Rattus norvegicus: one gene and its partner. The protein of the gene in region 2 purifies or fractionates together with the protein of the main gene of each other region. This does not show direct contact. Links are inferred from orthologs where the notes say so. Each region holds a gene or a part of one and is shown on either strand. Other genes may lie near its edges.

The links.
Region 1: the proteins of Cry1 (region 2) and Fbxl3 purify together in Homo sapiens (affinity purification with mass spectrometry; 4 studies listed by BioGRID and IntAct, counting the BioPlex papers as one, with this or other methods). This does not show direct contact. The link is inferred for Rattus norvegicus from reciprocal best matches to the Homo sapiens genes CRY1 and FBXL3.

What each region holds. Positions count from the first base shown.
Region 1 is NC_086033.1:86,319,304-86,325,111, forward strand, and holds the end of Fbxl3 (F-box/LRR-repeat protein 3), read right to left. Parts: intron 4,684-5,808; coding exon 4,040-4,683; 3' UTR 2,201-4,039; downstream 1-2,200. UniProt on the Homo sapiens protein: Substrate-recognition component of the SCF(FBXL3) E3 ubiquitin ligase complex involved in circadian rhythm function. Plays a key role in the maintenance of both the speed and the robustness of the circadian clock oscillation.
Region 2 is NC_086025.1:20,460,948-20,466,871, reverse strand, and holds part of Cry1 (cryptochrome-1), read right to left. Parts: intron 3,337-5,924; coding exon 3,194-3,336; intron 606-3,193; coding exon 421-605; intron 1-420.

The sequences.
Region 1 (5,808 bases), on a different chromosome or scaffold from region 2:
CTAGATCTCTTTTGTATTTAAAGCAGCAGAAACTGAGCATGGGGAATGGCTGAGCCATTGGCTCCCCGTGAGACAGTCAGTGATGCTTTAGGACCCAGACAGGCATGCTCATCAGGGAGAAAGTTGGCTCTCCCTTCTGGGATCTCTGGCTTTGGCAAAGACAGAACTGTGCAGAGGGTGAAGTTCAGTTTTAGATTTTAAGCCAAGGAAAACCTTTTAAGGTCTCCTGCTCTAAGAGACTGCCTGGCCAGTGTTTAGCTCCTGCTTTTTTGTCAAAAACAAGGATCTACAGATTAAACTTTGTTGCCATGTAAGTTATGGTATTTTCCTATTCCTGTGTCAGTTCACTTTACACACATGTAATATTTCTTCTAAGAGCTTGACTATTAGGGCTTCAGAGTAAACATATCACCCACGAATCTGGCTCATTAATGGGTAATTTACTGTTGCAGATAGAAGGAAACAGTTAAAAGGTGAAGTAACTCAAACACTCAGAACCTCTATTCAATAGTGGCTCCCTAGACAGACAACAGGAAAAACATTATAAGACCCTAAACACGACATCTATCGTCCCTCCCTCCAAAGCCCAGTACACACGGAAAAGACAGCAGAAGGAACCAAGGGCTAGGGGATCACAAGGGGCACCATGAGAGGCTGCCATCTAGGCAAGCAGTGGAAACTGCACTCTGCAATGTGTACCTGCGACTGTTTATCCGCCCTAGATGGTGTTATAAACATTACGTCATGGATGGGGATGGGGCTCAGGGCCACACCCTTCACAAATTACTGGTAGCTTGTATGGGGGTGGGGGGTGGGGGAAGTCACTTTCTCCAGTGGTACTGCCACTCCTAAACTGCCCGTGTTTCCGTAACCTCCCACCCTGTTCATGTGGGCAACTCTCATAATTAAAGTTAGTGGATTCCAAGGGTTAAAAAAAAGACTCGAGAGTAGAAGGGAGTTCGGCAAGAGAGGACGGCAGAGTAAGGGAGAGTGGAAAATGACCAAAATGCGTTATATACAAAGTGTTTAATAACAATACATTCTTCAGTCTGTCTCACATGTGATGTGTCTGGGAGTACTGAGCCTAGGGATATCTGTCTGTCTGTCTCTCTCTCACACACCCACACACACTCACGGAAGGGAAGCGGTCTACCACTGAACTATTACATTCCTACAATCCTTTTTAACTTTGTGAAAACAAGGTCTAGGTTGCCTTTCACTCATAGCTCATTCGGCCCCGAATGTGTCTGAATGTGCATCCTCTGGCTTAGCCTTCTGAACAGCCTGTCTGTTCCACCACACCCCGCCAACTTTTGAAAAGAAACACATTTGTATTTACCCTTGAATGTGCAGGTAGCTTCAAGGTCTTCTGACTGCCTTCAAGAGTTTCTTCCTTGTTGGAACTATTCAGGTATTTACATTTTGATTATTAATTAATTCTAAGAATAACCTTTAACTCTCTGAGACAATGCTTTTGTTATCTTAAAGAAGGGTTTAAGGCCAGTAAACAGGTGATACTTTTTACTTTTTGCTAACACTAAAAATGGCCTCAAATAGAAACAGGTTTTGGAAACAGATTGCAGTAACTTATTACTGTTTAGCAAGGCGTATTTTAAAAAGATGGCCTAGATTACCAATTACAGCAAATTGGACTGTTTCCTGAAACTTACTTAAGATACATTAATTTCTATTGTTTTAAAACTATTCTGATTTATATAGATTTCTAATATGGCTTGCTAGGCTAAAGAAAACTCTAAGAATGTTTTTGTAAAAATATCTATCCTTGTTTTAATTATGTGTGAGTGTCTAGGTCTGTCTATGTAAATGAATGCAGGTGCCCAGGGATGGCAAAGGTGTCAGTCTTCTGGAACTGGACTTACAAGTAGTCATGAATGATGTGCATGCTAACAACTGCCAAGAGAATCCACCAGCTTTAACCCCAAGAGTCATATTTCCAAGTAGAGTATAGCTTTCATTCTGAATATATAAAGAAGCTATTCCTTATTTTTAATCATAAAAGAATTTATATTTCACGGTAAGTTTCACAAGTATTAGAGCATCAGAATAGAATCAGTGTGCCAAGTTTTGTATCTTCAAAGTAGACTGTTTAAAAGACTACCATATAATAGATTCTGAAGCTATCATAATATATATTGTAGTATATGTTTGATTAGTTCTCTAAAGTTATAAAAATACAACCGCAGTAGTAACTATCTTTATTCTCAAATTGATAAAACCATTTAACATATATTTTACAGTATAAACAAATTAAATGCTATGCATTTTGCTTATAAAGTGACTTAAAGTATTCAAGCATGTAATTCAATTTGTACAAAAAGTTAAGTTTTCAAATAAAGCTTTGGTTAGTAAAACTGACTATATACCATCAAATCCATTTTTCAATGTTGTTCAGAAAAGTTAAAAAAAATAACCCAGAACCTAACCAACTAGCACAAGTATTTCCTATACAGCCAGAGCTCCCTACTATTCAGTAAGGGTAAAATGTTCTCAGAGTTGCCTTTGACGTGGAACTCTGGGCCGGTCTTTTCCTTCTCAACTGCCGTGCCTGAAAGAACGCCATCACTTCTGAAGTTTAAGCTGTGTAGAAAGCCACACTCTCTTTTGTTCTTAGTTAGGTCATCTGTCTTTAGGACTGTTAGCTTCCATAGCCTCAGGCTTTATAAAAGCCCCACTGAAACATGCTGCTGGGGTGAACCACTTCTAACTTCTCTCAGAGCAGGCGTCTGTTAGCACTAGTGCCCAGAACCCAAGCTCATACAGTACCTAAAAAAACAAAACAGAACAAAGACCCCCAAACCTTAGTATCTTTATACTATATAGAGTCTAGAATCTACCTTTATTTGTATGAAAGTAATAGGAAAAGCTACATAACTTAAATATAAAATACCAGTTTCAACCAAATTGACAATCACAAAACTGTATTTTCCTATTAAAATGTTCCAGTTCACTGAGTAGTATTTACTCGAGTTATAATGAAATATATTTTTTTTAATTTAGTGTTTCTGAGCTGTACAGATACTCTTTCATTTTTAAAGCTGTATTTATTGTAGCTATGTCACTCCAAACTTGAAAGCATGAGCCATCACTACGGTTCACTGAGACTAATATTCTTTCATCAAACTGTTCTGAAACAATTTATAAAGTTCTACTTTTAATTATTTCAGTTGGGTTTTTAAGTAAAATTTTCATTTAAATTGTTGTGTAATAGTTTAAGACTAGTTTAAATAAAGATTTAGAGAGAGTAAAGCATTCCTTTACATACAAAGCCTCAGGCACCAAGGACATTAGTGACAGAACAAAGAGTGCATGTGGTTTAGCATTTTACACAGGGACCTAAAGTTTATACAAAGCTAAGTGCTAGCTCTCTCCTACTCCACAGATTCCTCTAGATTTGATCCCGGCTCTCTCTGTGTGCCCTCCTTAATAACCACGGCAACATTTATCAGTGTTCTAAGTTCTTTGATATTTATATCTTTATTTTTAAAACAGCTTCATTATGTTTGAAAACATTCACCCAGTGTCTTCTGAGCGCTGTCATACATGTCTCTCACAGAATGCTCACTTTCCTGAGCTGTATTAAACACCTTATAACAGGTGTATTTAGAACTGAAGACCCTAAAATGTCAAGTTTACATTTTTTTTAAAAAAATGCATAGAGAACATTTCAGAAAACCTATTAGTACACTTCTGAGATATTACAACACTCAGGTTGTTTCCTTCAGACTATGAATTACTTAATTTTCATAATTGGATATTACTTTCAAATATGGAACAACATTTTTAATTTTTAAACATTTGATTGCTATTAGGCTGCAAAAAAAAAAAAAAAAAAGGAGTTATCTGACCCAAACTGTAGGTCTTCCGACAAACGCCCTTCATTACACAAGCTCACCAAAGATGCCAAATTTCTATGCCACAAAACAGAATTACAGCTCTCGAGCAGATAAACGTTTATTAGGATGCGTTTTCTTAAAAGGAAGGTGCTACTCACTCACCACGCCCCCTGTCATGCAGTCCCTTACCACGTAGGCATCATGTCTGGAAACCACACCCTGCCAAGATGCTTGGACACTTCCCAATGAATCTGTTCCAAACTATACTTCTGGTCAGGAATTAACACTTCTTCCATAATGGATAACTGAGACAGGCGGCCCCCACACATCTTTACAAACTCGACAAAGGCACTACATGAGACCTCACACTCCCCCAGCCCAATAGCTGACAGATTTTTGCAACGTTCTGCAATGCGAATCAACTCTTCATCAAGGGGCCGCAAGCCATTGGCACACACTACCAGTTCTACTAGTCTGGGGCAGGTCATGCCCACGCGGCCAAGCACATCTTTGCTGACTGATCTCCCAAAGTAAAGATGAGTGGCAGGGATTTCATAACGGAAGAACGGGTCAAACTCCTCTTCGTACAGGAAAAAATACATCACTAGGTTGACCTTCGGTGAGTGCTTGATGAAGGCGTCCCAGCTGCTCTTCTGGATCGTGTGGAAGTGTGTCTGTCCCGGGTTCTCACTGACAACATCAATGCGCAAATGTTCTAAGCGAACGTGCTTTTCAGAAGACAGTGCGAGCAACAGCTCATCACTGAGCAAATGGTAGTTCAGGGCCAGCTCCCGTAAGCCATGACACTGATCAGCCACACACAGAATCCCTGGCAGGGGGAAGAAACAACGCCCAATTACTTAGAAATTATTGTAAAATTTACCTGTTCAACTGTTTAATCAAGTGCATGTCCTAGAAAATACCCACATTTCCCTTTTCACCAATTAACGCAGTTTCAAACTTCAGTTGTGATAATGAATTACAAGTTATACCCACTCATATTATTTATCTTTTTTTTTTCTTTTCTTTTTTTCGGAGCTGGGGGCCGAACCCAGGGCCTTGCACTTGCTAGGCAAGCGTTCTACCGCTGAGCTAAATCCCCAACCCCTCATATTATTTATCTTATAAAACCAATTCTATATCCTTGTTGCTCATTTATAACTCAAGAAAATCACCACCATCGTTTCAAAAATTTGCCATAACGAAGTAAGATTTATCCTAGAAATGTAGGGCATCACTGTGTTTTTCCCTCCCCAGAACTCATTTTGTAGCCCAGGGTTGGCTTCAAACTCAGTTTTGGAGCGCCAGCTGTCATATCATTAAAAAATACTAAACTCACAGTTGGAGAAAAATTTCATGTTCAACTAGAACAGACTAGAGGAGTTTCTGAAATTCAAAATGTAATCATAATATAAAGAAAGGGGATACAATATGACCATATAAATGAAACAAAATATTTGAAAAGTAAGAAAAATTCTATCAGAGCTTACAGGGACTAAGCCACTACCTAAAGACTATACATGGACTGACCCTGGACTCTGACCTCATAGGTAGCAATGAATATCCTAGTAAGAGCACCAGTGGAAGGGGAAGCCCTGGGTCCTGCCAAGACTGAACCCCCAGTGAACTAGACTGTTGGGGGGAGGGCGGCAATGGGAGGAGGATGGGGAGGGGAACACCCATAAAGAAGGGGAGCAGGAGGGGGAGGGTTTAGGGGATTGTTGGCCTGGAAACCAGGAAAGGGAATAACAATTGAAACGTAAATAAGAAATACCCAAGTTAATAAAGATGGAGAAAAAAAATTGAACTAGTAATTTACATACTGTTCAAAAAGAAAACAAAAGAACAAATTTAGCTGAATTTCAGAATTTCTGAAGGATATTTAATGATACCTAAGCAAGTGGAAAGACATTCATGTTTTTATATTAGAACCTTGATGTTGGTAGATGTTGTA
Region 2 (5,924 bases):
ACCAAAGACTGCAATTCGGCTCCCATCTTCAGGACGCACATCTTCACCTGACAGCAGGACACAGGTTAAGGATGCACAAGATACTTTTGGTTACTAGGATTTTCTCTGATTTCCTCCTTTACTTTTCTCTTCTTCCAGTAAAAATACATAGACGTGAAATTTCCAAGTGATTATTAAGTATTTTACAATATAATATATTTTTAAATTACTTGGGAATCTCATACACTGTATTCTGATCATACTCCCTCCCCTTACCTGTCCCCCATCTTCCCAGATCCACCCAGATCTCCTTGCCCATGCTGACTCTGCGTTCCTTCCGACTTTCCTTAGCCACCATCAGGTCCACTCTGTGCCGCCCACACACTCTGGTGCCTGTCAATCCGAGCACTGAGCACCACGATTATCAAGGGCTGCACTCACCGAGCTCCTCCAGGGAAGGAACTCCGTACTTCTCATCATGGTCGTCGGACAGAGGGGTTGTGCACTTCCCTATCACGTCTGATGTGATGGTGTCTGCTGGCATCTCCAGGGGCTCCATTTTGCTGACGAGAGTCTGAAACCTTTTGTATGTTAGGGGTGGCTGCCCACCATTGAGTTCTATGATCCTGTTACAAGAGTGAATAAGACACGGTGAGTAAATGATTATGTAGTTTGGTTGATAAACTCAAAAAGGTTTACTATCAGAAAGTTTATCAATTAAGACCTTTTGAATGTTAGCTTCTGATATGACCAGAAAATGTGTTCAAAAATGGTTAATGAATCTAAAACCATTCTCCTGAATTCCTGGAGGTCAATAATAAAATATGCAAACATCAAATCATTAATGACAAATATTTAGGATTATAACTAAATAATAACAAAGTAGTTCAACTAGCCTATAGGCTACCTATATAAAAATTAATATAAATGGACAAGTGAAAAATTAATCAATTCAAGAAATCTCAAGAGGCACCAGTAAAACTAAACCGGGCTGATAATTATAACAAGAAATAATCAGTAAAAGTAAAATTTGCTAGCAGCAGCAGTGCACACCTTTAGTCCCAGCACTTGGGAGGCAGAGGCAGGTGGGTCCCTATAAATTCAAGGCCATCCTGCTCTATAGAGTGAGTTCTAGGACAGCCAGTGCTACACAGTGAAACCCTGTCTCCTCTTGCCCTTCTCTTGGGTCCCAATTTCCTCTATGAACTTGAGGACTATACTGCTATTTTCTGTGTATGTGGAGACCTCAGTACATGTGTATCTGTAGTATGTTACAGACCTCAGCACATGTATATCTGTTGTATGTTACAGACATCAACACACATATATCTGTTGTATGTTACAGACCTCAGCACATGTGTATCTGTTATCCAGCAGCAGCCCCTAGGTGAGCTTTTGTTTTCTGTGGTTTCAGTTACTTGGGTTCAATTGTGCTGCAAAAATACTATGTCTAGACTCACATAACTTATTGTAGCATACTGTTCTAATTGTTCAATATTATTGTTAACCTCCATAAGTTATAATTTACAACCAAGCTTTATCATGATGTGATCTTTAGACAGACAGCCCAGGGAACACAGGGCTCGATGTGATTAGTGGTTCTGCATATCCACTGGGGCTTTTGGAACGCCCTCGTGGATAAGGAGAGAAATGCTATGCATACAAGTACCCCAAATGCTCAGTCATTTATGTTTAAGTGCATTATGCAGTTAGTGCTGACCACTAGCTACCTCAATCACCATACTTCTAGGAAAAGAAAAGGCAGCAGCACTTACAAAGGTCTGCATTAAGTCTAGACATGGCTTCAGAGTAATTAATTATATTTTTTATTATAACTATTTGCTTATAATTATAGTTAAAATCCAGCTTTACCATCTGTCAATGTAGAAACAAAAGCCTTCCACAGGGTTAAATGAAGTAGCTAGGATCACATAACTAGTAACACTGCTAATCAAGTATTTCTTCATCCCCAGCATTAGGTATTTTCTTTACCTTGCGCATTATTGATTATGTTACAGGGAGAAACCACCAGGAAAGCTGTCCTCCCTGCTGTACCTACAGTTTTGGTTTAATATCTTGAGATTACATAATGAAGTGTGTTGAATTCAGAACTGTTACAACAACAACACTGTTAAGTGTCTCGTAATTATCCACCAGCAAACTGAAACTCATAGACAAGATTTTCACACACACACACACACACACACACACACACACACACACACACTCTACCTTTAGTATGTATTCATAACCAACCCAATAAAAACTAATTTTATGATACTGCTGAGTCTCCCACTTTGAAGCAACATCTCTTATCCTATTCTGTCTCCTCACTCATTGATGTTAAGGAAACTGGTATCAGACAGAAGTTTTATTACCAAAAGGACTAGCACATGTAAGTCAACACTGAGGGGAGATGCCTGTCTGAATCAAATAATGGTTTTATTCATTTACTTGCTAACACAAGTAAAATCAGTTTGTTATGTTATTTATAGAATTAGTTTTGTTAAGTTAGTACAATGTGTAAATAACTTAATAGATACATAAATTTTGAATTCTCATGTTTATAAAGACAATTTCATGCCAGAAGTTACTGTAAACTTACACAGCTCATGAACCTCCTAAGTTGTCAGCACGTGTTACTTTCTAACCTCAAACTGGCCCCAGACTCTGCTAGTCAAAGCATCCCAGGGACTAGCACACATCCCAGCAGCAGACACCCAGGCAGATGATGCCACACATCAGAGGCCTCTAACTGGGTAGTTTATTACTTCAGTTCTCACTTCAACCAAATGAAGGATAAGCTCGCATACATATAACAAGATCACAAACTATATCGACCTAAGACTTGGGTATGTGTCAAATAAGCTGCTAATCTAATTATGCTGACAGCAATAGTGGCCAAGGTAGCAGTAAAATAAATGTGTGAACAGCATTTCTTAATTTAAAACTGAAGTGCTAAATATTTTCATCTTATGCACTGTGTCTACAATTTTGGTATTACAACTGAGTGGATAGAAATCACAACAGCTAAGTAAAATGCTAAGGGCTTGATATAAACCCATTTAATTCTTAATTCTTACAATTTTGATTCTATTATTTCCCATTTTTATAACCTTACTCAGTTATGTATTTAATATCACTCAACAGTATACCTAAAAATGTCTAAGGTGGTAATATCATTATATATTTTCTTGCAATAAAAGAGCCTTACTTGTCTAGGTCATACAGTGTGTGTGAAATGCGCACGATGACTTCCACACCAGCCTCAGTGGCCAGCTTCTTGATGGCCGCATCTCGTTCCTTCCCAAAAGGCTCAGAATCGTACTCAATTGAAAGTTTAGTAATATTCCATTCCTAAACAAGACAAAGAGGCAACAACACATTATGATTTAATAGTTATGTTCTTATAATAGTAAGTTCAAAATCTACATCAAATGATTACATATAAATCAAATTTCAAACATGAAGAAATGATACAATTTATCAATGTGAACATATGCAGATGACATATGCATGCTAACCAGACTTCAGGCTTGTGCCTGGCATGAGAAAACCTAGCATATACTTAGACGTACTCTTTATATAAAGTACTTAGGTAGTATCCTTTTTTCATTACCTTATTTAATTCTGGATGAAAACCACCTCAGTTTGGCATTTTGCAGATAAAGTTATTTTTTTAAAAGGCACGCACACGCTCAGGTTCACAGAAACAGAACACATGGACTTATACCTGCTGACTCTAAGAACTGCTCTTTAACAAACCTTTGGTAGCTGATGTGGTGAGAACTGTTTTTCTGAGAATGAGTATTTTATTTCTGACCATTACAAAAGTTGACAGCAAAAAACTTGGAACCAAGAATAAAAACAGCAAGTACTGACTGATATTGTATCATTAACTTACATCTCTTTATAGTTACTATAAATAGAAAACTGTGACCTAAGATAAATGATTTTTTCAAGAAAGTAGTCAAGTTTCATTGAATTCTAAAATCTATTCTGATTAGCTTCAAAAAAGAAAAGAAATCCTATAATGCTACTATTACTTAACTGATATATGATACCAGATTGTAGCAGTCCAAAGGTGTTCCCAATAAAGCCTTCTACATTCATAGTGTGCATTTTGTAGTTGGTCACTTCCAACTAATTTTTTTAAGTGTGTGTGGATAACATAGAAGCCAGAAGAAGGTATCGGATCCCCAGGAGCTCGAGTTCTAGAACACTGTGGGTATTGGGATTTGAACTCGGATCCTGTAGAAAAGCAGCAAGCTCTCTTAACTGCTGGGCCATGTCTCCAGCCCAGTACATACATGTAAAGCATATTTAGGCATTTATTCTATTTCTTCCTAGAAATCCTTGAGAAACAATCAATGGATTAAAATAAACACATTTAAAGTTCTGATAGATGGGTGCATGTTCAGCTGTTTTGAGACACACACACACACACACACACACACACCCCGTCAGCACCCGTACCCTAGAGCGACAGGAAGCTGTGTGGATTAGTTATCTTATATGGATGTCTGTGCAACTACTAGAAAAAAAAACAGAGCATTTAAAAGGCTTTCCTCTCTCAAAGGTTGTAAAAGAACTGAGGAAAGAAATAATTATTTATTTTACTACCTTGTTTGTATTTGTTAGTACAGACATGCTATTTTCTTTTAAATTTAAGAATACAATGTAAATGAGAGTGGAGAACATTGTGTATACATATTTATGCATACGTATTTGTCCCATGGTAAGACATACAGACAAGTAGTAGAAACACAGGGTTTAAAGCTGAGAGTCCCTGGTGAGAAGTGTTCACCTTGCGAGACGCACTGCTAAAAGCCCCAGTCTGCATTTCGAAGCAGTGAGCAGAAAGCACAGAGCACAGTGAACGTGAGCACCATGGCTTCCATGTGTGCACTTGTGTGCACTGTAGCTGAGGTCCTCCCGGTTCTGCTGTACTCAGCTGTGTTTCTTAGAACTCCTGGGAGTTTAACAACAGCAACCCTTTGTTGTCTAAGTCATGAAAACCTTTTGCCTAATTAGTAACTTGTAATTAGTTCTATGTACTTTTTTGAGAAATAAGTTTGATAGGTTTAAGGTGTGTTTGGTGTTTGAGGTGAGTCAATAAAAAATACTTCCTGCTAGTTTTGCTTTTTGAGCTCAGGCCTGTACATCAGAGAGGTAAAGGTAAAAATACAAAAAGCATCATTATTAAAGTAAAACTGGAGGAAGTATTGCTAGGTTTAGGACAAACCAGCTTGCTGATGGTTTACTATTGAACTGACAGCAGTACTTAACATGACCTGTTCTGTCAATCATAAGCAGTCCCTCCCTTGCTGTGACCGAGGGCGGTCACTCTAATCCAGCACACGCAGGAGAATGCCGTGTAAGTGGAGGAGAAAAGGAACTGTTTGAACCGCGCTCACCAATTCTTTCTCCTAAACTCATTAATCTCTATTCCTTCCCTGGCAATGAATTAGTGAACATCTCTCTATAAGAAAAACTGAAAAGCCAGAGATAAGAACATTCCCTGAACATCACATGTATTTACACACCAAATACGTCTAGGAAGGTCCTTCTCTGCTACGTCTTTTGTAATTGGCTTAATTATTCCTTTTCCATCTTTGAGGTGAAAAGTTACTTCCTTGATTCCTTCCTTTCTATAATACTGAAAGCTATTCACTTCCCCGAGTGCTGCTGGAGGTGACTTATCCATACTTAGTATCTGATTTTTAATTTAATTCTGTTGAGGTTAGAAAGTACAATTTGTGAGACTTCAGTTGTCTGATACCTATTTTATGAGTGAGTGTGGTCCATTTTGATAAATGTCTTTTGTGTATCTGTCTACTCTGTAATTTCTGGATGTCCTGTTCTACAAACACCAGGTACAACAAACTGATTGATGACATAGTGAATAAACCCAACAGAGTTCTTCTTGTTATGCTGCTGAGGGG